6 linked regions of the Oryctolagus cuniculus genome follow. The protein of the gene in region 4 interacts with the protein of the main gene of each other region in a pairwise test. Links are inferred from orthologs where the notes say so. Each region holds a gene or a part of one and is shown on either strand. Other genes may lie near its edges.

Region 1 (2,038 bases), on a different chromosome or scaffold from region 4:
TCTTTCAAAAATATTTTTTAAAAATCTTAAAAAAAATATCCATCAAGGCCAGCAAGCATCATACGTAACAGTGAGACCTAACATCAGTAACAAGACCCCATCACTGCTCGTCCGTCCCCTCCCCTTCCATCTTGGCCAGAGGAGTAAAACGAACAACTTCTAGGGCATAGCCACGTTCAGTCACTCCTAGGTCGGTGGGCAAAGGGGAACAGAATAACCAGGAGAGAGAAAAACCAGAGGTCAGACAATCGACTGGCGGGAGAGGTGGGTGGTGTTTGAGCACAGTGAGGGCATCTGAGGTCTCCCAACACCCCCAGGCTCTGGGGCTCTGAGTCTGAGCAGGGGAAAGAAATGGCCGGGGGGGTGACGGTGGCTGGGATCTGGGAGGGCGAGCTCTTACCGGGGGAAGTGACCCAGTATCCCTTGCACCAGCTGGGGCAGGCAACCTCTCCTACCCACAGGGAACCGTCGCCTCCACCCAGAGACATCTACACTCAATGTACAAAAGCCTCGGCTTTTATTAAAAAGGAGGTAGAAGACAGATAAGGGAACAGGCCAGACTCCCTCCTTCCCCCTACACACACAAACACACACACACACACACACACACACACAACACTGAGTGAATGACAGGGTCCATCAGGCGACAGACTGCATGGCCGAGGGAGGCAGCACCCGGCGAGAGTGGGCCCGGACCCAAGGGTGGGCTGAGACCTGGGCCAAGGTCAGCCGATCGGAGGGGTTGTGCCTGAGCAGCTTGGAGATAAGGTCCTGGGCCCCCGCGGGCACAGAGGCGGGGAACTTCAGGTCCACCTGCAGGAGGGGAGAAAGGAGCAGAAACCGCCTGTGTTCCACCCCAGTGGCCACAAAGACCCGCGCGTCCAACCCTGCCCTCCCCAGCCCCTGGCCTCTGCAGCCTGGAGCGCCGGCAGCGTGACCCACCTTGACGATGCGCCGGTATGTCTCGTTGTGTGATGCGCTCTCAAAGGGCGGGTTCCCCACCAGCAGCTCGTAGCAGAGCACCCCGATGCACCACAAGTCCACCTTCTCATTGTGCGTGCGCCCCTCAATCATCTCGGGGGGCAGGTAGTCTAGGGTGCCACACATCGTCTTCCTCCTGTGGGATGAAGGGCATGCCAGGGGTCCTGGGACCAGGCAACCATGCTCATCCACCCTCTCCCCCCCAGGCAGCCAAGAGACCCTGGGAGGCAGCAGGGGAGTGCTCCATCCAGGTCACGCCTCTGGGGATGGGGTGGGCCGGTGGCCTCCACATTGCCCCCCAGTACTTCCACTGGGGGACTAAAACAGATAAGGCAGGAGGGCAGTGCTGACGTGGGGAAGAAACCCTGGAGGCCTCTCTCATGCCCGCCAAGCGGGTTCTGCTTAAGTAGCTCGGGGTGCTTCTCCACTGGCATTAGAAATGAAGGGTGGGCCGGCGCCGCGGCTCACTAGGCTTATCCTCCGCCTGTGACGCCGGCACATCCGGGTTCTAGTCCCGGTCGGGGTGCCAGATTCTGTCCCGGTTGCCCCTCTTCCAGGCTAGCTCTCTGCTGTGGCCAGGGAGTACAGTGGAGGATGGCCCAAGTGCTTGGGCCCTGCACCCCATGGGAGACCAGAAGTACTGGGCTCCTGGCTTCGGATCAGCGCGGTGCACCGGCTGCAGCGTGCCGGCCGCGGCGGCCATTGGAGGGTGAACCAACGGCAAAGGAAGACCTTTCTCTCTGTCTCTCACTGTCCACCCTGCCCGTAAAAAAAAAAAAAAAAAAAAAAAAAAGAAGGGTGGGAAGCACCTGGGGTCAGAACTATGCGTCTCCTACTTTCCTACCGGGATTGCCCAGAGGTGCCGCCTGCCAGGGCCGGCTTCCCAGCGCCACGTACCGCAGGGAGGGCGCGTGCACAGACCAGCCGAAATCCGCGATCTTCAGCTCCCCCTGCAGCCCCAGGAGCAGGTTCTCCGGCTTGATGTCCCTGTGAATCACTTTCTTCTCGTGGCAGTAGCGCAGGGCATCTGCCAGCTCCTCCATGATCTGGGAGGGCG
Region 2 (3,500 bases), on a different chromosome or scaffold from region 4:
TAGTTCCTGCAGTCGTATTTATCATTTGTTGGCAATACATGATTAATGATATATTAAACTATTTCATACTGAACAGATGAGAAGTGTGAAGAGCGAATTATTTCACTTTAAAATGACTTGAGTTATAACTCAGTGATATATTTCTAGAATAGATCTATTTTTTATAGAACTGAGAACAAAAGAGACTCACACACCTTAGTTTCTAGCTTTTCTCTTGTAACTGACTTGCTGCATAATCTTCGGTCATGTACCTAATCTCTGGCAGTGTCCTCACTTGTAAAACGTTACATAGGCCATACCAACCAGCTTACATGCATTGTAAAATTTGATAATTTAACTTTTTTTGAATTATTTATTAGAGAGAGATCCCATATACTGGTTCACTCCCCAGTTACTGCAGTGAGAGCTGGGAATTCAGTCTGGGCCTACATGGACGGCAGGAGCTTGGCTGCTTGACTCACCATCACTGCCTCCTCCTAGGATCTCCATTAGTAGGAAGTTGGATTCAGGAGCTAGAGCCAGGAATCGAATCCTGGAGAAAGGTTTTGTCTTAACTGCTAGGCTAAATGCCTGCTGATAATTCAATATTTATTTTAAAATTTATTTATTTATTTATTTATTTATTTATTTACTTGGATGTCAGAGTGATAGACAAAACGAGAGAGTTCACTAGTTCATTCCTCAAATGCCCATTACAGCCAAGACTGGGCCAGGCTGACAGGGGCCCAGAACTCCATCCAGGTCTTCTCTCATGGGTGGCAGGAATCCAAGTACTTGGGCTATCAGATGCTGCCTCCCAGGCATGTTAGCAGGAAACTGGATCTGAAGTGGAGATGAAACTAGACCCCAGGCACTCCAACATGTGATGTGAGTGTCCCAAAGGGTGGTTTAACCCAGTGCACCACAATGCCTACCCCAAAATTTAATATTTAAATTCATTACTGCCTCATCATTTCTATGAGTGTTATCATTTCTATGAGAATTTGAGGCATTTATGAAAAATAAAATATAATGTAGACTGTAAGTAATGATTAGCATCCTCTAGAATATCTCTGCAGGTATATTGTTTTACCATTCTTTTAATTTACTTACTTAAGGTAGGATGTTTTGTAGTTGTTGTCTAAGTTGTTCTGCAATTGACTCATTGAATCCTTAATCTTGGCTGCTGCAGTCGTCCGGATCGCCTTCGGGACATTGCTGATCGCTTCAATGTGGACCATGATGCTGTGCTGGACAACGTACTCTATGCACGTGCATATACTAGTAAGAGCCCATGCAGCTGGGTGTGTGGGTTATCATAAGGTTGGAAGCACTGATTTACTAATTGATTATACTAAATATTTTGACACTGTCCTTTTATCTTTTTATTTTAAAATAAAATTAATTCAGTCCACAAATTTTAATAGCTGGTAAGTTCTTGGATATTAAAATACCCTCAAATTATTTCTTATTCATTGTCTGTGAAAGGCAGAGTAGCATTTTTTGATAAATTGTCATATTTAATAAAGTCATAAATCATTAAGAGAATCCTTCCAGGATTCTTTTGCATGGCTCCCAAGGACATAAGTGATCTTAGCCTCTGCTTCTAGCTCTTAGAACATTTTCTCGCTGTATTTCCCACCAGGTGAACATCAGATGGAGCTACTTGATTATGTAGCTGCAAAGTTCCATGAGGAAGCTGGCATCTTCAAGCTATTGGTACAAGCTTCTAAGTATTGCTCACTCACAGAGCTCTTTAGCATATTACTGTTCTGTTGATTCCTATCCAAATTAATTTCTTCCTTCCAATTCCATAAACTTATTTATTTTTACATCAACCCTGTGCAGATCATTGATTCAATAATGGCACTTTTTCGAGTGGATTTCAGTGGTCGTGGGGAGTTGGCTGAAAGGCAGCAAAAATTGGCCCAGATGTTGTCACGACTCCAAAAAATCTCAGAAGGTAGATTTTTAAAATAGAATGGCTCTATCAGAGTAGCATCTGTGACTGTGTTTTAGGTGTGCTTGCAGAGACGTTCAGAGTGTCAGGAGGCAATACTTCTTAAAAAAATAAAATTACCTTTATGGGAATACATATTTTTTACCAAAAAGACTGATCCTAACCTAAATAATAACAATAACTTTAAATAAGTTGACTTATATTATCAGTGAGAAAAACAGGAATGTGATCTTGTTTCTAAAATAAATCTATAGTACGATGTTCTAAATACCAAAATCTACAATGAATGTTTTATATTTGTATTTCCCTTCTCTTAGCTTTTTTTTTTTTTTTTTTTTTTTTTTGATACAGAATACAACGTGGCTGTTTTTGTGACCAATCAAATGACTGCCGATCCGGGAGCGACTATGACGTAAGCCTATTCTGCTTTTGTATTTCACGGTGGTTAATATCAAGATGTTAGAGTGTAAAATAGAAAATAATTTCAGGGAGTAGGCGTTTGGCATAGTGGTTAAGATTCTGCTTGGGACATCCATATCCTGTAAAGCAGTGCCTGGGTTCAAGTCCCAACTCTGCCCCAATTCCAACTTCCTGCTAATGTGGCCCCTGGGAGATAGCTGGTGATGGCTCAAGTGATTGGGTCCCTGCTACCCACATGGCGACCTGGATTAAGTTATTGGATTCTGGCTTGGACCTGACCCAACCCTGGCTGTGTGTGGTCATTTACAGGGTGAACCATAAGATAGGATATTTCTATCTGCCTCTCTGTCTGCCTTTCAAATTAATTAATTAGTTAATTTTTTGAATTAAAAAATTTCAAAATAATTAGCCTTGATGTGTGCACAGATCTATCACACATAATTTTAGTACACATGCATATCACTTCATAATTGCAGATGTGAAGGGGCTTCAAAATTTTATGGAAAAGTTGAGTTAAAAGTTAATGTGGGCCTTTGCCACGGCTCACTAGGCTAATCTTCCGCCTGCAGCGCCAGCACTCTGGGTTCTATTCCCGGTTGGGGCGCCGGATTCTGTCCCGGTTGCTCATCTTCCAGTCCAGCTCTCTGCTGTCACCCAGGAAGGCTGTGGAGGATGGCCCAAGTGCTTGGGCCCTGAACCTGGCTTCGAATCAGCGCAGCATGCCGACTGTGGCGGCCATTTTGGGGGTGAACCAACAGAAGGAAGACCTTTCTCTCTCTCTCTCTCTCTCTCTCTGTCTCTCACTGTCTAACTCAGCCTGTGAAAAAGAAAAAAAAGTTAATGTGTATTTTTGACAAGCTTTTTTGTAACACCCTTTGAACCACTTATTTGTTATCTAGAGTCCATTTTCTCTACCTCTGTAAAAAGTAAATCATTTTCAGCAGTGTTTTGAGCTCTTCTTTAATCTAAAGCTGAAGGATATTGGAGGATAATAAGAAAAGGACGCTAGGGAAATGAAATTATATTCCAAATACATCAATGCCTTCTATTGCACTGATAGGCTGTGAGCCCAAAACAAAAAAAGCAGATTTTCTACAGTGTGAACATGAGGTATCTTTATAAAGGAAGCCCAGTGAGAGGA
Region 3 (3,500 bases), on a different chromosome or scaffold from region 4:
CATTGTAAAGTGTAGCCTGTGCATCATTCCACGGCCAGCAACCCATGTTATAGAACACCCTTTGATGGGATCTGGTGGTATGGGTCAAGCATCGAAGGTCCAGCCAACCCTCTAAGTCTAGGAAGAGGTGAAATGGAATTTCTGAACCGTGGAGTACCTATCAGCTACCCTCTAAACCCTGTATGGTGCCCCACGATTGGAGTGGAGGAGGAGGGGGCCCAGGTTCAAGATGGGAGGCCTTACACGTCCTGCTAGGAGGCATCACGGGGCCCAGCGTGCCTTGAGCTGGGCAGACTTCTGAGCACTGGTCCCAGAGAGAGCCCTCCAGCTCCTCAGTTACTACCTGGGTCCAGGAAATCTTCCAGGGATTCCGAGGGTAGAGAAGCAGAAGGGACCCTGTGCTCCCAAATCCTGCACAACCTGCGTTGGCTCTGGCCCCTGACCACATCCCCTGCATTTCAGGGACACGTCTGACCTGGGTGCACCCTTCAGGCTGGGCCCGAATAGCAGAGGCAGGGGCAGGAGATAGGTAGGCTACACAGCTGTGGATTGTTAGGGGACTAGGACTATGCTAATGGCTCCCTTCATAGTTAGACAGCCTTACTTCACCACTGGCTGAAAGGATAAGAAAAAATGCAGTTCGTGCTTGCAGTCCAGGAATCCATTCAACAGCAGGAATGAAGAATGGCAGAGATCCTGCCAGGTGTGAAACACTCTGGGGGCCTAGTGCAACGGGAGGAAATCAGAGAGAGAAGGGGTGGGCTGCGGAGCCCGGTGCGTGCCACCACGGTGGGCTCCTAGCTGTGCGGCACGGCTCACAGCTCAGGAGGGTCCTGAGTTCGGCTTAAGCCTCTGCTTTTGCCATCTTAAATGTCTTGTTAACGTTCCAACAAGAAGCTGTGCATCGTGGCATCTCCACTTTGCACTGGCCCCTGAAAACGAAAGCATTCATCCTGCTCGCAGCTTCCTCCTCCCCTCGCTTGACGGACTCCAGATGGACATAAACTGACTTTCAAACCACTGGAAGCTTGAAGAAAAGGAAGGGAAACAGAAGTGGGTGGCAGGAAAGGGCTGGAGGGAGAAGCCTCCCTGTCCCATGTCCAGACAATGCCCACGCGGGTCGAGGGAAGCTCTGGCGTCTGACCCCTCACCCCGCCCCAGAGTTGCCAACACAGGAAAGAAGGCGGCTTCACAGGGGGTTCCTCCGAGTGCGGGGCGCGCTGCGAGCGGTCAAGGCAGGAGCAGCCTGGATGCGGGAACCCAGCGTCCGGGACGTGGAGCAACAGGGGTCGAGCAGGCGCTAACACTGCGTGCACGTGGCGATGTCCCCTTCTCCCTTCTTGGCACTCTGTCCCTGACTGGGATGACACGTGCTGGGACATGCCTTGAATCAGATGCCCAATTGGGAGCAAGAGTCCCCTCATTTGGGAAGCGAAGAAGGGAAACAATGCTGGGGAAGCCTCTGGAAACCTCCAGAAGCCCGAGCGTTTCTGAGTGCCACGCTCAGAGATCTGCAGCTCATGCATTTCCCAGTGGATGGAGTGAAATCCAACAGGGTTAATCCAACACTGAACTTTAACTAAGCCGCAGAATCCCTGTGCCCGCGGTACTGAGGACTAAATAAAGAACTCTCCAGAAAGGACCCAGCTCACTGTGAACCCTCAGTCCAAGCAAGCAGTCCTGAGGTCCGCCAAGGAGCTGGTTTCAGAGTCCCTGGACCCACGCTGGGAGGCCGGTCCTCAAATTATATCTCAGCCCAACTGTCAGGAGGCAGCTGTTCTAGAAGCTTCCTGACGCCTTCCTCTGTTTGACTCATTGTCTTGTGACAGGAAGAAGGCAACAACTGGTGTCCCCCATCTAGAACAAGGGTCTTCCACAAGCCCCTCCACCCTCTAACAACCTCATTCCCCATGTGCATCTCCCACCCCTCCTGCCTGCCTGCACCCCTGGGCACAGCGGGACAGGCAGGGCAGACTCCTCACAGACGCCCAGAGCTGCGGCAAGCCTTGATGGGGTGGACCAAGGGACAGAGCAGCAGAAGGGAGCTGGGGCTGGCCACGGATCTTCTCTGAGCCTCTGTGACGCCACTGATGAGATGGGGTTGGAGCTCCCCGGAGTGCCTTCCCCGCCAGGCATGTGCACAGCCCCCGCCCCACCTCCCGGGGCCCACCTTGCACTTGAACGGCTTCACGTCGGAGTGGACGATCATGTGCGCCTTGAGGGTCTGCTTCTGCACGAAGCTCTTGTAGCAGAGGTGGCACTGGTAGGCGCGGATGTTGGTGTGGATCAGCACGTGTCTCTTCATGTTGGCCAACAGGGTGAACTCCCGCCCGCAGATGCCACACTTGTGCTCCTTCACGCCCTGCACAGAGGCGAGATTCCAAAAAGCAGCAGTTAGCCAGCTGCGCGCTCTCAGGAGAGCCAGACGTCAGCACTCTCCCAGCCACAGGAGCCCAGTCACAAAGAGCCAAGTGCCAAATGACGTGGCTTCAGCCCTGTGAAACCACTATTTTCCTTTCTTTAAGAGGTGTTCATTTATTTGAAAGTCAGAGTTACAGAGAGAGGGAGGGAGGGGAAGAGAGAAAGTAAAAGACTGAAAGAGAGAGAGAGAGAGAGAGAGATCTTCCATCCACTGTTTCACTCCCCAAGTGGCTGCAAAGGATAGGGCAAAGCCAGGCAGAAGCGAGGAGCCAGGAGCTTCTTCTGAGTCTTCCACGTGGGTGGTGGGGACCGTCTCCCATCGCTTTCCCGGGCCATTAGCAGGGAGCTGGATTGGAAGTGGAAGCAGCTAGGACTTGAACTGGCACCCATATGGGATGCCAGCATTGCAGGATGTGGCTTTACCTACTACACCACAATGCTGGCCCCCAAAGTCACCATCTTCTTGAAGAGTGTTGATTATGTAGTCTTTTATTTCTGCTGCAGACTATAAACTAGCTGGGCCACAGCAGGAAAAGAAAGCTCTAGCTTTTGTTGTTTTCTCTGCTGCTGATGCTGATGCTGGGGTTAATTCTACAGTAACAGTTCTCAGGGCTCAACAGGATTTGGGTAAGAGCATTCTAGAATGGTACGCAAAATAAATCTATAATCCAGCTTGCATGCTGATGAAAAAACATCATTTAGACTGGTATTATCATTTCCCATAGGAGAGCCAGCATCCTTCTGAGTTCTCCTAAGTGAACTTGAACATCCCAGAAGAAAAACTCTCATGTGCACCCCAATCAGCACTTGGCAGTCACCCTCTCCAGTTGGGTCCCCTGGGTTCCCTCAGCTCAGTCTGGGCTATGTGTCACGGGGGTCTGGAGCTGCTGGAAGGCAGGTACTTCCGACACAGACATTCTGCAGGGGTGGGTTTCTGAATTAGGAAAGAGGACAGGAGGTTTTCTGGTGTCCTTGCTGCTTGTGGAGAAACGTTTGCACACTCAAGCAACTGAGAGGATTTCTAGGACTTCTGGCTTGGGGAGAACATGAGCTCATTCTGACTAGCCATCACTGCTTCC
Region 4 (3,058 bases):
TTGAACCAGCACCCATATGGGATGCCAGTGTTGCAGGCAACAGATCAACCTGCCTTACCACAATGCCAGCCCCAAGATTTGTATCCTTAAACTCAGTGTTAGGGTTGTGTTTTTCTTCCTCAGATGGTTGTACAGCTATCATTTGAACTTTAGGATTTCTAAAATGAATTAGTAAAAATCATGAACCCCATTTGCAGTAATTGAACGACATTTAAGTCTGGATTACTGTGTTCAGTACTCTCTGACGTTCTCTATCTCAAGGTATCCACAACACAAATGTCACTTTGCTCAGACTTTGCGTTGACCCTGAAACGTGTATGATTAATAAATCTCTTGCAGTGATTTCTTACAGGTTACTTTACTTGTTATGGTTAGTGCTTACAGGCTATTTTTCTATTCTGATTTCCCAACAGTCCCTCCAAGTATGTTGAATTCTAGTATGACCAAGCTTTTGCTCTGGGTCTACTTAAGAATTAGACTTGGGCTTATCTAAGTTTTACCAGAAAATTAGTGGTTATCTCCAATATGAATTTTGGCATGTTAATTTAAAAATAATAATAAAAATCAGGAAATTTATCTTTTTGGAATTTCTTTGTTTTTACATCTGAGAATCTATCTTGACCATGAGTTAGTGCTAACAGTTGTGCAGTTACACAAATGGAAAATGTATAATTTTATTTTCTGTAGATGAAAGAAATGACCTGCCGTGATGTTGTTAAAGAAGTTGCCAAAATGTAAGTTCAAATATTCCTTAACTATACACAAAGATATTTCACATTGTCTTGGCATATATATGAGGCTATTTTGGTTGAAAATAGCAGTGTGTAATTTTTTGAAGAGAATTTAACATTCTAAGAATCCTCATGAAGAAAATGAGTATTTCAAGAATGAGAATGAATGCTGAGAAAACAAGCTCCTGTGTGGGCAACGGGATTTAACGCGTGAAGGACATAGTGAATGTTCGTAGGGGCTTCATTTGTTAACTTCCACCACCTCAAATCTCTCAACATCCCCAAAATAACAATAATCAAAACACTACCAAGAAAGCTTAGAAACTTTATTTATCGTGTGATTTACAAGTTAATTATTTCTATACATGATCCATAAGGCTGGCTCACTTATATAAAAATATAGGCTTTACTTTTTCGGATATGTAATAAAAGTTCTTATATAGGGCACATAAATTATTAGGCTTTATTTCCTTAATGAAAGAAAATAGTGTCCTGAGAAGGGATGGTTAATGATGGCCTGGTTCCCATTTATGTTTAAGTTTTTAAAGATTTATTTCAAGAGTTACAAATGAGACTATTTTCCACGTGCATCGATTTATACTCCCCAGACGGCTGCAACAGCCAGTGGTGGGCCAGGCTCAAGCCAGGAACTTCATCTGGGTCTTCTGTGTAGTGAACCATCTTCCATTGGTTTTCTCATGTCCGGGAGCTTGGTTGGAGTGAAGCAGCTGGGACATGAACCTGCTGCCTGCCCATTACTGGCTTCAGGTGGTGACCCTGACTTTACCCATTTCTGTATTCTTGAGATGATTTTTATGGCTTTTAAGCAATGTATATCAAAATAAGCCAAACAAATTATCATTTAGTATTTATGAGGAGAATGAAAGTGTTCCAGTCTATTTCAAGTCCTCTGTAGCTTATTCTGATATTCGTAATTCAGATTTCAGCCTACATAATTTTAACTTGTGGTATGGATGGTAATCTAATTTGTACTGACTGGGTATGTAAACTGCAGTGTTTTGGTCACTGACTCCAGTGTTTTTTCCTTCTAGAATTTACATAGTGCATGATGAAGTTAAGGATAAAGCTTTTGAGTTAGAGCTCAGCTGGGTTGGTGAATGTAAGTAATTTCTGTGTATTTAACAGAGTTTGTGAAGATCTCTTTTGAAATATCTAAGAAATCGCCCAAAATTGATCTCATGCTATGAATTAATGCTTGGGATTAATTTATAAAAATTTGAGCACATAAAATCTCATGAGGAAACATTTAAAAAATAAGGTCAAATGACTATCACTTATAGGAAAGCATTTTAAATTTATTTAAATATATGGCTTAATTTACAGTAACTAAAGGAAGGCATGAAATTGTTCCAAAAGATGTAAGAGAAGAAGCAGAGAAATATGCTAAGGTAAGTCACCTAACCAAAATGATGTATTGTTACTTAACAAATTAAGTAACAGATTTCCAAATTCAGCTCTTCCCTTGGGGAAAACTGTAAGGTTTTTCAGGATACATCAAGTATCCATTGATCTTCAGAACAAGAATATAGTTGAATTTCATCCTAAATTTCAGTTACCATTAATAAATGCTTAAATTCAGGTTGCTGTATCTTAACTTGCTGTTACATGTGGGCTGTAACAATATTTAAAGTTGATTTTAAGTGCTACTTTTTTCTCTTAATAGGAATCTTTGAAGGAAGAAGATGAATCAGATGATGACAATATGTAACAATTACTTCCGCATCTTTCTACTACCGTCTTGTGATATTTAGCCTGTGGATTATAAATAACCCACTGATCAATTTTCATTAAATTTTTGTCTTGTAACTACTGAAGTTTGGTTACTATCTGTTTGACAAAATGGGTGGGATTGAGAACATTTATATTGAAATAAAGGTATATGCTACTTAAAAATTCCTTAGTTAAAATATTGCAAATAGAGGCTTTGGATCAAACTTAAAGCCCCATTCCATCCCTTTAAAAAATCTCATTTTTGCTGGGCTTCACTAGGAGCATCCATGTGTTACCCACATAAATAATTTAGTAAAATGATGGTTGATCACCAGCCACAGTTAAAACTGTAGATGTGATACAGAATTTCAGTTTGCAGGGGGAAGGAGGGGCAGAGTGAGGCACAACAAACAGGTTGTCCCATTGAGTGCTGGTTTGAGTCCTGGCTGCTCCACCGCTGATCCAGCCCCCTGCTAATGTGCTTGGGAAGATAGCAGAAGATGGCTCAAGCAGTTAGGCCCTGGTAGGAAAATCCAGATGGAATTCTTACCTCCTGGCTTCAGCCTGGCCCAGGCCTAGCTGTTTCAACTATTTGG
Region 5 (4,262 bases), on a different chromosome or scaffold from region 4:
ACTCGATGACAGGAATGGCAGCCATTCTCCAGTGGTTCCTGGCTATGGTGGCAGCAGCTTCCTGCAGGGTAGTGTGTGTGACAACAACAATCCCGATTGTAGCAGTTTCTGCACCAGGCCAGTTTTACAGCATGGTTCTGAGCTTTGGTCTTGGAAGCTTCGCCTGGCACTACTTTCCCCATCTTCCCTCAATTCCCTGTAGAGTCACCCCTTTACTGTGTAGTCAGTCAGAGTTGGCTTCTAGTAGATTCCTCGGCTTCAAACGCTTTAGTGGCCTCCCATACATTCCAGCATGTGTCCAAATTGCTCAGCTCAAGGTGCTTCATTTCCTGGGATGTCCCTACTCTGTCCTGCACTGTGATCACTGTCACCCTGGTCCTAACACCCTTCCTCAATCCTATACTGCTTGCTACTATAAAGTCTACTGGGCAACCCTCCTCCACCTATACTTATCTCTATTAAACAAAAGCCATTTTTTTTTCACTCTGCTGCACAAGTTGATTCACTAAATCACAAATGGCATGGCCAGGGCAGGAACACGGCTCTTTGGTTTCTGTTTCTGGCACTTAGGCTGCGATCAGTCATCAACACGCAGAACGAAAGCCAGGATGTGGACAAGTGCTGCCACCTGTTGGCAGAGACGTACATGTGCAATCATTTGGACCACGGTCCTCACCCAAGGACCAGACTCGATGACATCCGGTCCCTCGCCCAAGTCATCGTCATCACCACTGTCAGAACCCCCAGGATGATCCCTGGTGGACCCCCAATCAACCCTGTCGGTATTCACGCCTCTGGGCTGATGCTCCCACGCTGAGGGGCTGGGTTTGTGACCAGAAGGCAGAAGCACTGGTGTGGGACTTCAGAGGCCAGGTGATAAGAGGCACGGTGGCTTTGACTTGGTCTCTCTCTTGGACGTCTCCCTCCGAGGCAAGCCAGCTGGCGCGCCTGGGCGGTTCGGGGGGGAAAGCCGAGGCCGCCCGCCGAGTCCTGAGCGTGAGCCGTCGCGGGGGTCGGCGCACCAGCCCATGTCCACCTCAGACGACAGCGGCCCCGGCCCACGTCTCAAGAGACCCTGAGGCAGGGCGATCCCGCCAGGCCACCCCAACTGTGGTTGCTGCTTTAAGCCGCTACGTTCCGGGGTGTCTGCTACCCAGTCTCCGACACAGACCCTCCAGTCGTAAACCCTTTCTTCACATTCTGCTGTGGCAGGAGCAAGTTAACCGGAGCCGCGGCTCAATCCAAGGAGCCTCAGCCCAAAAGTTTTCTCAGGAAACTGCCACGGCAGAAATGGGCAAGGAGCAGGTCCTTGAGCGGCGGCGACTTTCCAGCGCCCAGGTCCCGTCAGGCACCCCAGAGGGCGCCCGCACAGCCACCACCCCGGAAGTACGGCAGCCAGCGCGCCGGGCGGCAGAGTCGGCGCCTGCGCAGTGTGCGCCTCGCGCCCCCCACCTCCCAGGCAGTGCCGTTGCGCGCCGAGTCATCGATAGGAAGACTTCCGTACGGCCGGGGTCGCGTAGGCTGCCAGCTGCCCGCTCGCCGGGTGGGCTCCAGGGGGCGCCCTCGATAGAGGGGGCGGAGCGTTCGGGGTCGAGAGGCCGCGGCGGGGGACCTTGACCCGGTTACATCTGAACACCCGCACAGCCACGTAGTCGCCGCTCCAGGGAGGGTCGTCTCCCATTTATTTCCACCGTCCGGGTCCCCGCCGCCATGAAGCTGCGGGTGCGGGTTCAGAAGCGAACCTGGCCGGTGGAGGTGCCCGATGCGGAGCCGACGCTGGGGCAGCTGCGCGCGCACCTGAGCCAGGCCCTGCTGCCCACCTGGGGGTACAGGTACGCGCGGGGCCGCGGCGGGAGTGGCCCGCGGCGCGGGCGTGGCCGGGCGGAGCCGGGACACTCGGGGTGTCGCCTGCCCCCGGGGCGCGGGCACTGTGACGCGCGGGGCGCGCTGGGCTCTGCTGGCCGGGGTCGCGGCTCCTGGAGGACATGGCGCAGCCCCCCGGGGCCCTCCCGGGTGAGTGAGCGCTCGCGGCCTCGCGGGGAGCGAAACCGAGCCCTCAGCCTTGGAAACGAAACCGGGGGTGTGCACGGCCGGTGCGGGTTCCCGTCGGAAGTGAGGAGCGGGGGGCTCGGCCGGGCCGGGGTTCGGGGGTCGCCTCCGGGAACGCGCTGGGAGGGCAGAGTCTGCGCCCCTCCGGCTGCGCGGACGGGGCGCGCAGATTCGCGGCTCTCCCGACTTTCCTGGCTGCTTTTTATTTGCTGTTTATTGATTTTTGCCAACGTTGGCCTTCGCCGTGACCCTGGGCAGCCCGCAGTTTGGAGGCGATGAAGCTGAGAAAGGCTCCAGCTCCGTTGCTGGTTGACGGGGCTGCAGGGGAAGCCGCGTTCCGGGAACCACCGCTCTGGGGTCCTAGGGACCATGGCCGGGCGACACTGTTCTCAGCTGGCGAGCTGGGTTGGCTCAAAACAAAACTTGCCGAATTAACTTCTTTGATGGGGTTTCCGTTGTGTGCGTGCGCACACGTGCATCTCATTATTGTTTTTAAATGAGCACCGGTCTGAAAGGATGTGAAACCCAATATGATTGTTTGCCCAAGAGCCCAAGTTGGTTTCTCTTTCGGGTTTGTTTTTTGCAGTTCAGACTGGTTAAGTGGAACGAGTTTTAAGTTTCAGCTTTGAAAGTAAGCTCATTTTTTTCTGTACGTTCATTTTATAATAAACAGGTAGTTTTAAAATGTGTCCCTATGACATTATGTTTTTTTTCTTTTTTATTTAGTAAATATAAATTTTCAAAGTACAGTTAATGGATTACAATGGGACATTCTTATTTGTAAAGTGTCTTTACTAAGCAATTGCATCAAGGATTGCTATAAAACATTTTTGAAAAGCCTGGCGTTGCTAGAATTTCATTTTTCTGGTGAAGTTACCCGCCCCCGCCCCAATTTCAGAAAATGAAACCTTCAAGAAACTACATGTTACTCTAGAAGTAAGAGGGTGTTTCAGAATTTCTGAGAAAATGGCACTGAAATGTAAGTTCACTTTGGTACAACAATATTTTTGAAATCCACACTTTTGTTTCTTCATAATGCACGTTTTCTGTAGAGGCATGTGAAGCTGACATTTTTATTAAGCAGGCATTCATTACCTTTTCTAGAAATAGATATTTGCATGTGCAGCAGACTAGGTCCTGTTTAGAAAAACAAGCTGTTGCTGTGACAAATGCTCTCTAAACACCTAGTTCATTTGCGGTATCTTTTTCCTTTTCTGCCAGAACCAGGGTGGTGGTTTTATGGGCAGATGGCAGATTTTCAATGTTTGGTTTATTAAAGCATTTTGGAAAAAGAAGCAGAGTGACATCTTTTTCTTATAAGCAGGAATTCTCTACCAAAGACACTTTATTTGGCAAGAAAAAAATGTATTTCTGTGTGAAAGAAAGACAGATGAGTTGGTTCCAACACTTCTCAAAATGCAGCATTGTAGGAAATAGTGAAGGGAACATGGTTTTCAGAGGACTTTGTGTTTTGTTAACCTCTCAGGATTTATCCAGATTAGCCTTGCTGAGTGTCAGTGTCTCCTAAAACGTGTTGCGCTGGGTCGGTAACTATTCCTCACCACTGTGTGATGACAAAGGATGGTATTCGGCACAGCCCCAGGAATCCAGTGCAGAAAGGCCGGCAGTTCATTGCTTCAGGCTTGTGTTCTTAACTTGGGTGGCACTGAGTCTCTGGGTTTGTGCTGTCTTCCCTGTAAAAGGCATGTAACTGATCATCCATCCCTAGGAAGGTGAACTTGTACTGCAGTCTTCAACAGCGGGGGCTGGGATGAATTTGTACTCAGCTATCTCCACTTTTTGTGATTGCGAATATTCTTTTAGGATGTAGGTTCAGTATTTTGGGACCTATGTAGGCAAGCTGTCATTGAGTTAGGCATTCACTCTCATCTTTGTCTTCCCAACTAATGTTGGGAGGTTGGTATTTATTGTACAAATATATTATTTGCCAACTGCTGGAGATACTATTTGAAACTAGACGGACAAGATCTCTGATCTTATGCATCTTAAGTTCTAGTGGTAGGGGTGTGGGAGACAGGTAATAAACAATTAAATAACTGTTTTCAAATGGTGTTACAATAAAATTAAGCATGGGGATGGATTAGAGAGTGCTGGGGGCATCTCTGAGGCGGTGACACTGGAACTGACCTGGAAGAGCAGCTACAGCGGCCCAAAGGCTGCAGTGAGATTTTCCGAGTGGGGGGATGGAAAGC
Region 6 (3,410 bases), on a different chromosome or scaffold from region 4:
TGTGTTGTGAGCCTGAAGCTGGGAGGCTGAATTCACCGTGACCTTACACGTGGGGCAGTAGAGACGCTCCTTCTCACCCCTGCCGTCCCCACTCACGCCGCTTCCCACGGCCGCCGCTGTCGGCTCGGGGCCTAGCGCCTCTCTCCCAGGTTCTGGGGAACAGGGTGGGCAGGAGGAAGAAGAGGAAGAGGAGGCGGCATCCAAGAGGTCTGAGTGGGCTGGCTCTCCTGATGTGGGGTCCGGGGTCGACGGTAGCTGGAGTGGAGGGCCAAGAGGAGGGGTTGCAGGAGCTGCTGCGGAGATGGGAGGCATCGGTGAGGGGGGAGGCCCAAGATGATTCTGGAACCCAGGATACTAAGCACTGCCAACGGAGGGGACGGCGTAGGGCCAAAGGGTCCCTGGTGCAGGCATGACCAAGGCCGCGTTCCCCCCTCCCTAGGCAGACTCAGGCCTCCTGGGCCTCAGTTTCCCTGTCTAAAACCATAAACTTGAACAGAGTAGTCTCAGCCCCCACATCCCTGACTGCCTAATTATTTGCTAAAATTGCCAAGCAGCAATCACCTAAAAGATATTCTAGAATGTTCAGAGACCACTATTCATAACAGCATAAAATTAAAACTCCAAAGATCCATCAATAAGAGATTTAGATTTAAAAGGAGGCCGGCGCCGCGGCTCACTAGGCTAATCCTCCGCCTAGCGGCGCCGCCACACCAGGTTCTAGTCCCGGTCGGGGCGCCAGATTCTGTCCCGGTTGCCCCTCTTCCAGGTCAGCTCTCTGCTGTGGCCAGGGAGTGCAGTGGAGGATGGCCCAGGTGCTTGGGCCCTGCACTCCATGGGAGACCAGGAAAAGCACCTGGCTCCTGGCTCCTGCCATCGGATCAGCGCGGTGCGCCGGCCACAGTGCGCCGGCCGCGGCGGCCATTGGAGGGTGAACCAATGGCAAAGGAAGACCTTTCTCTCTCTGTCTCTCTCTGTCTCTCTCTGTCTCTCTCACTGTCCACTCTGCCTGTCAAAAAAAAAAAAAAAAAAAAAGGAATAGCGCTGTGATCACAAATGGAATACTGCACAGCAACAAAAAAGGACCAGCGACTACAATACACCCAGTGTGAATGAACCTTACAGGTGTTATGAATGCTGGTGAACATTCATGAGATGAACAAAAGCCAGACACAGAAACCAACAAACACTAGGATTCAACAAAACCAAGTGGAATGCACTGGTGGTGAGAAAAACCCAGGTCACAGTTAACCTGGGGATGGGGGTACGGCCGGTTGACCAGTTTCTCTCCAAGTCTACCTGGGACTGCAGAACATGACTTTCTTTGGAAATATGAGTGCCAATGAGGGCATGCTGGATTAGGGCAGGACTGATCCAGTGACTGGCGTGCTGATGAGAAGGTCACACGGAGGCACAGACGCGCAGGGGACTGGGGCCGGGATTGGAGGCCTTGTGTGTAAGCCAAGGAATGCTGAGGACGCTGGGCCCCGCCCAGAGCAGCACGGCTGCCAGAGGTGCACTTTGAGCCCGTGAGGAGGAACCAGCCCCGCCCACACCTCGACTCTGGGCTTTCCAGCTCCAGAACGGCGTGGAAACACGTGTGTTGTTTTCCAACATGCGGAAGTGAACACAGCAAGGAAACGACTGGGAGGTGACCCCAGGACCAGCTTCATGGTACCGGTGACACAGTTCCCGATCCGAGTGTGTTAGGACTGGGGCAGCCCGCTGAGCAGTACACGGGCAAGATGCTGACTGCACGAGCCCAGAAAACCCGCAGAAGGTTCTCAACTCCTGGTTGGGAACCAGACTTGGCAGGGGGCGGGGAACAAGCGTTCAGGACTGACCTTTGCTCTGTGGCTCTCTGGGGGCTCCACTGGCCGGAGTTGGGGTTGGGGACGCCGCAGCCGCCCCATCCTGGGCCGGGGTTGGTGGCCTCTGCTTGTTCTTGGCAGCTTCCACGGCCTTGAGCTTCCTGGCATGTTTGTGGCCTTTATAATGAGCCTCTGCCTGGTTCTGGGGAGCGGAAAGCATGGGGTCACCAAGCATTGGCTGAGTCCACCTGCTCTGTCCTTGAATGGGAACCGAGCAGGGGCAGGGTCCAAGGGAGGCAGGGCTCGGACCACACAAGGGGCAAATTCGTTTCATTGCCACCATCGTCACTGCAAATGTGTGGCGCTGAAGTTCCCAGAAGGTTGGCTCACACATGGACTCCCACGCAACCAGCCTCTGCTTTTGAAGTCTGGCTCAGCCACTCGCTGTGCATTTTGGGGCAAGTCAGTCCACCTGAGCCAGGGTTTCCTCATTCAGAAGCTTTGTGATGATCATCCTGACCTCTCAGCATTGTCAGAATTCAACGGGAATGTGAATTATAGGGGTTTTGCTTGTGCAGCAGGTACTCAATGGATGCTCGTTATCGAATGGATAAATGCACACACGACAGCAGAGAAGGCCTGATACTCTGGGGTATACACACTAACACATTCATCCCTCTGTTGATGTTTTTCAATAAGTGAACCTTTGCTGTCTGCCAGGCCCTGTGTCCAGCCTGCCAAGGACGTGGCCACTCCCTCAGGTGAGGTCTCCCTGTCCATCTCCTGCAGGACTCCTGTCGCTGTCCTCTGTCAACCAAGGGTCTCTACCTGTCGCTCCCCAGCCCCCCTGCCCCAGGCCTCCATGGTCCCTTCAACCACAGCAGCCGTGGCGGTATCTAGTTCGAAGCCCAGAGTTGCCCGGATAAAGTGCCTCCTCTACCTGGGTTGGGGTGGGCTGTGGTTCAAAGTCTGCAGGCCTTGGGATCAGACAGACCTGGGTTCAAATCCCAGCCTGGCAACTTACCAGGCAAATCACCTAACCTCTCTGAGTCTCGTGGCTCATCTGGAAAGTGGGGGCGATACCAGTGCCTTTACCTGTCACCTGGATGTCTCAAGAGGACGCCTGGGATGAGAGCCATAAGCACATTCTGTGACTTCTCAGGGGCTCAAAGAAACAGGGGTCACCCCGGGGCCTAGGGAGGGGAAGGGCAGTCTGCTCTCTTGCAGAAGGACCCAGAACATAGAGATGCAGAGAAGAGTGAGATGAAATCCCAGTGGGCTGTAAGGGGGTGAGGGATCCGGAGAGAGGAGAGGTAGGGACGATGACAGCACCAGGAGCACCTGTTCTGCAACCAGGGACGTCCCCCAGGCCTCTCCTGCCAAGACCCGGGCTCCAGCCCTCTCCCTGCCAGCCCTCCCACACCTGCGTCCACTCCTCCCTCTCACCGCTGAGTTGAACCTCAGGTGACAGATGTTACAGGAAATGAAGAGCTTCTTCTTCAGAGGGGAGGGGACCCCAAACGTGTGGCTGATGACAGCTTTCTGGACCGGGTCCATCTGCGAGGGGAGTGGAGGACACGATAATTCTGAGTCAACTCAGAA

What was found.
Region 1: the proteins of PSMA3 (region 4) and AURKB interact in a two-hybrid assay, tested with the Homo sapiens proteins (2 studies listed by BioGRID and IntAct). The link is inferred for Oryctolagus cuniculus from reciprocal best matches to the Homo sapiens genes PSMA3 and AURKB.
Region 2: the proteins of PSMA3 (region 4) and DMC1 interact in binary tests that used the Homo sapiens proteins (3 or more experiments, as listed by UniProt). The two-hybrid records come from large-scale screens. The link is inferred for Oryctolagus cuniculus from reciprocal best matches to the Homo sapiens genes PSMA3 and DMC1.
Region 3: the proteins of PSMA3 (region 4) and ZNF366 interact in binary tests that used the Homo sapiens proteins (3 or more experiments, as listed by UniProt). The link is inferred for Oryctolagus cuniculus from reciprocal best matches to the Homo sapiens genes PSMA3 and ZNF366.
Region 5: the proteins of PSMA3 (region 4) and FBXO7 interact in binary tests that used the Homo sapiens proteins (3 or more experiments, as listed by UniProt). The two-hybrid records come from large-scale screens. The link is inferred for Oryctolagus cuniculus from reciprocal best matches to the Homo sapiens genes PSMA3 and FBXO7.
Region 6: the proteins of PSMA3 (region 4) and ZNF385C interact in a two-hybrid assay, tested with the Homo sapiens proteins (2 studies listed by BioGRID). The two-hybrid records come from large-scale screens. The link is inferred for Oryctolagus cuniculus from reciprocal best matches to the Homo sapiens genes PSMA3 and ZNF385C.

Annotation. Positions count from the first base shown.
Region 1 is NC_091448.1:52,686,645-52,688,682, forward strand, and holds the end of AURKB (aurora kinase B), read right to left. Parts: intron 2,028-2,038; coding exon 1,879-2,027; intron 1,118-1,878; coding exon 943-1,117; intron 814-942; coding exon 640-813; 3' UTR 501-639; downstream 1-500. UniProt on the Homo sapiens protein: Serine/threonine-protein kinase component of the chromosomal passenger complex (CPC), a complex that acts as a key regulator of mitosis.
Region 2 is NC_091442.1:115,181,807-115,185,306, reverse strand, and holds part of DMC1 (meiotic recombination protein DMC1/LIM15 homolog), read left to right. Parts: intron 1-1,171; coding exon 1,172-1,263; intron 1,264-1,624; coding exon 1,625-1,698; intron 1,699-1,827; coding exon 1,828-1,942; intron 1,943-2,290; coding exon 2,291-2,351; intron 2,352-3,500. UniProt on the Homo sapiens protein: Participates in meiotic recombination, specifically in homologous strand assimilation, which is required for the resolution of meiotic double-strand breaks.
Region 3 is NC_091445.1:38,517,718-38,521,217, reverse strand, and holds part of ZNF366 (zinc finger protein 366), read right to left. Parts: intron 2,363-3,500; coding exon 2,171-2,362; intron 1-2,170. UniProt on the Homo sapiens protein: Has transcriptional repression activity. Acts as a corepressor of ESR1; the function seems to involve CTBP1 and histone deacetylases.
Region 4 is NC_091443.1:18,546,489-18,549,546, reverse strand, and holds the end of PSMA3 (proteasome subunit alpha type-3), read left to right. Parts: exon of another isoform or gene 1-687; coding exon 688-734; exon of another isoform or gene 735-1,783; coding exon 1,784-1,851; exon of another isoform or gene 1,852-2,075; coding exon 2,076-2,140; exon of another isoform or gene 2,141-2,415; coding exon 2,416-2,460; 3' UTR 2,461-2,558; downstream 2,559-3,058. UniProt on the Homo sapiens protein: Component of the 20S core proteasome complex involved in the proteolytic degradation of most intracellular proteins. This complex plays numerous essential roles within the cell by associating with different regulatory particles.
Region 5 is NC_091442.1:110,387,761-110,392,022, forward strand, and holds the start of FBXO7 (F-box only protein 7), read left to right. Parts: upstream 1-1,462; 5' UTR 1,463-1,710; coding exon 1,711-1,832; exon of another isoform or gene 1,833-1,985; coding exon of another isoform or gene 1,986-2,013; intron 2,014-4,262. UniProt on the Homo sapiens protein: Substrate recognition component of a SCF (SKP1-CUL1-F-box protein) E3 ubiquitin-protein ligase complex which mediates the ubiquitination and subsequent proteasomal degradation of target proteins and plays a role in several biological processes such as cell cycle, cell proliferation, or maintenance of chromosome stability.
Region 6 is NC_091448.1:20,728,216-20,731,625, reverse strand, and holds part of ZNF385C (zinc finger protein 385C), read right to left. Parts: intron 3,366-3,410; coding exon 3,255-3,365; intron 2,011-3,254; coding exon 1,842-2,010; intron 294-1,841; coding exon 1-293.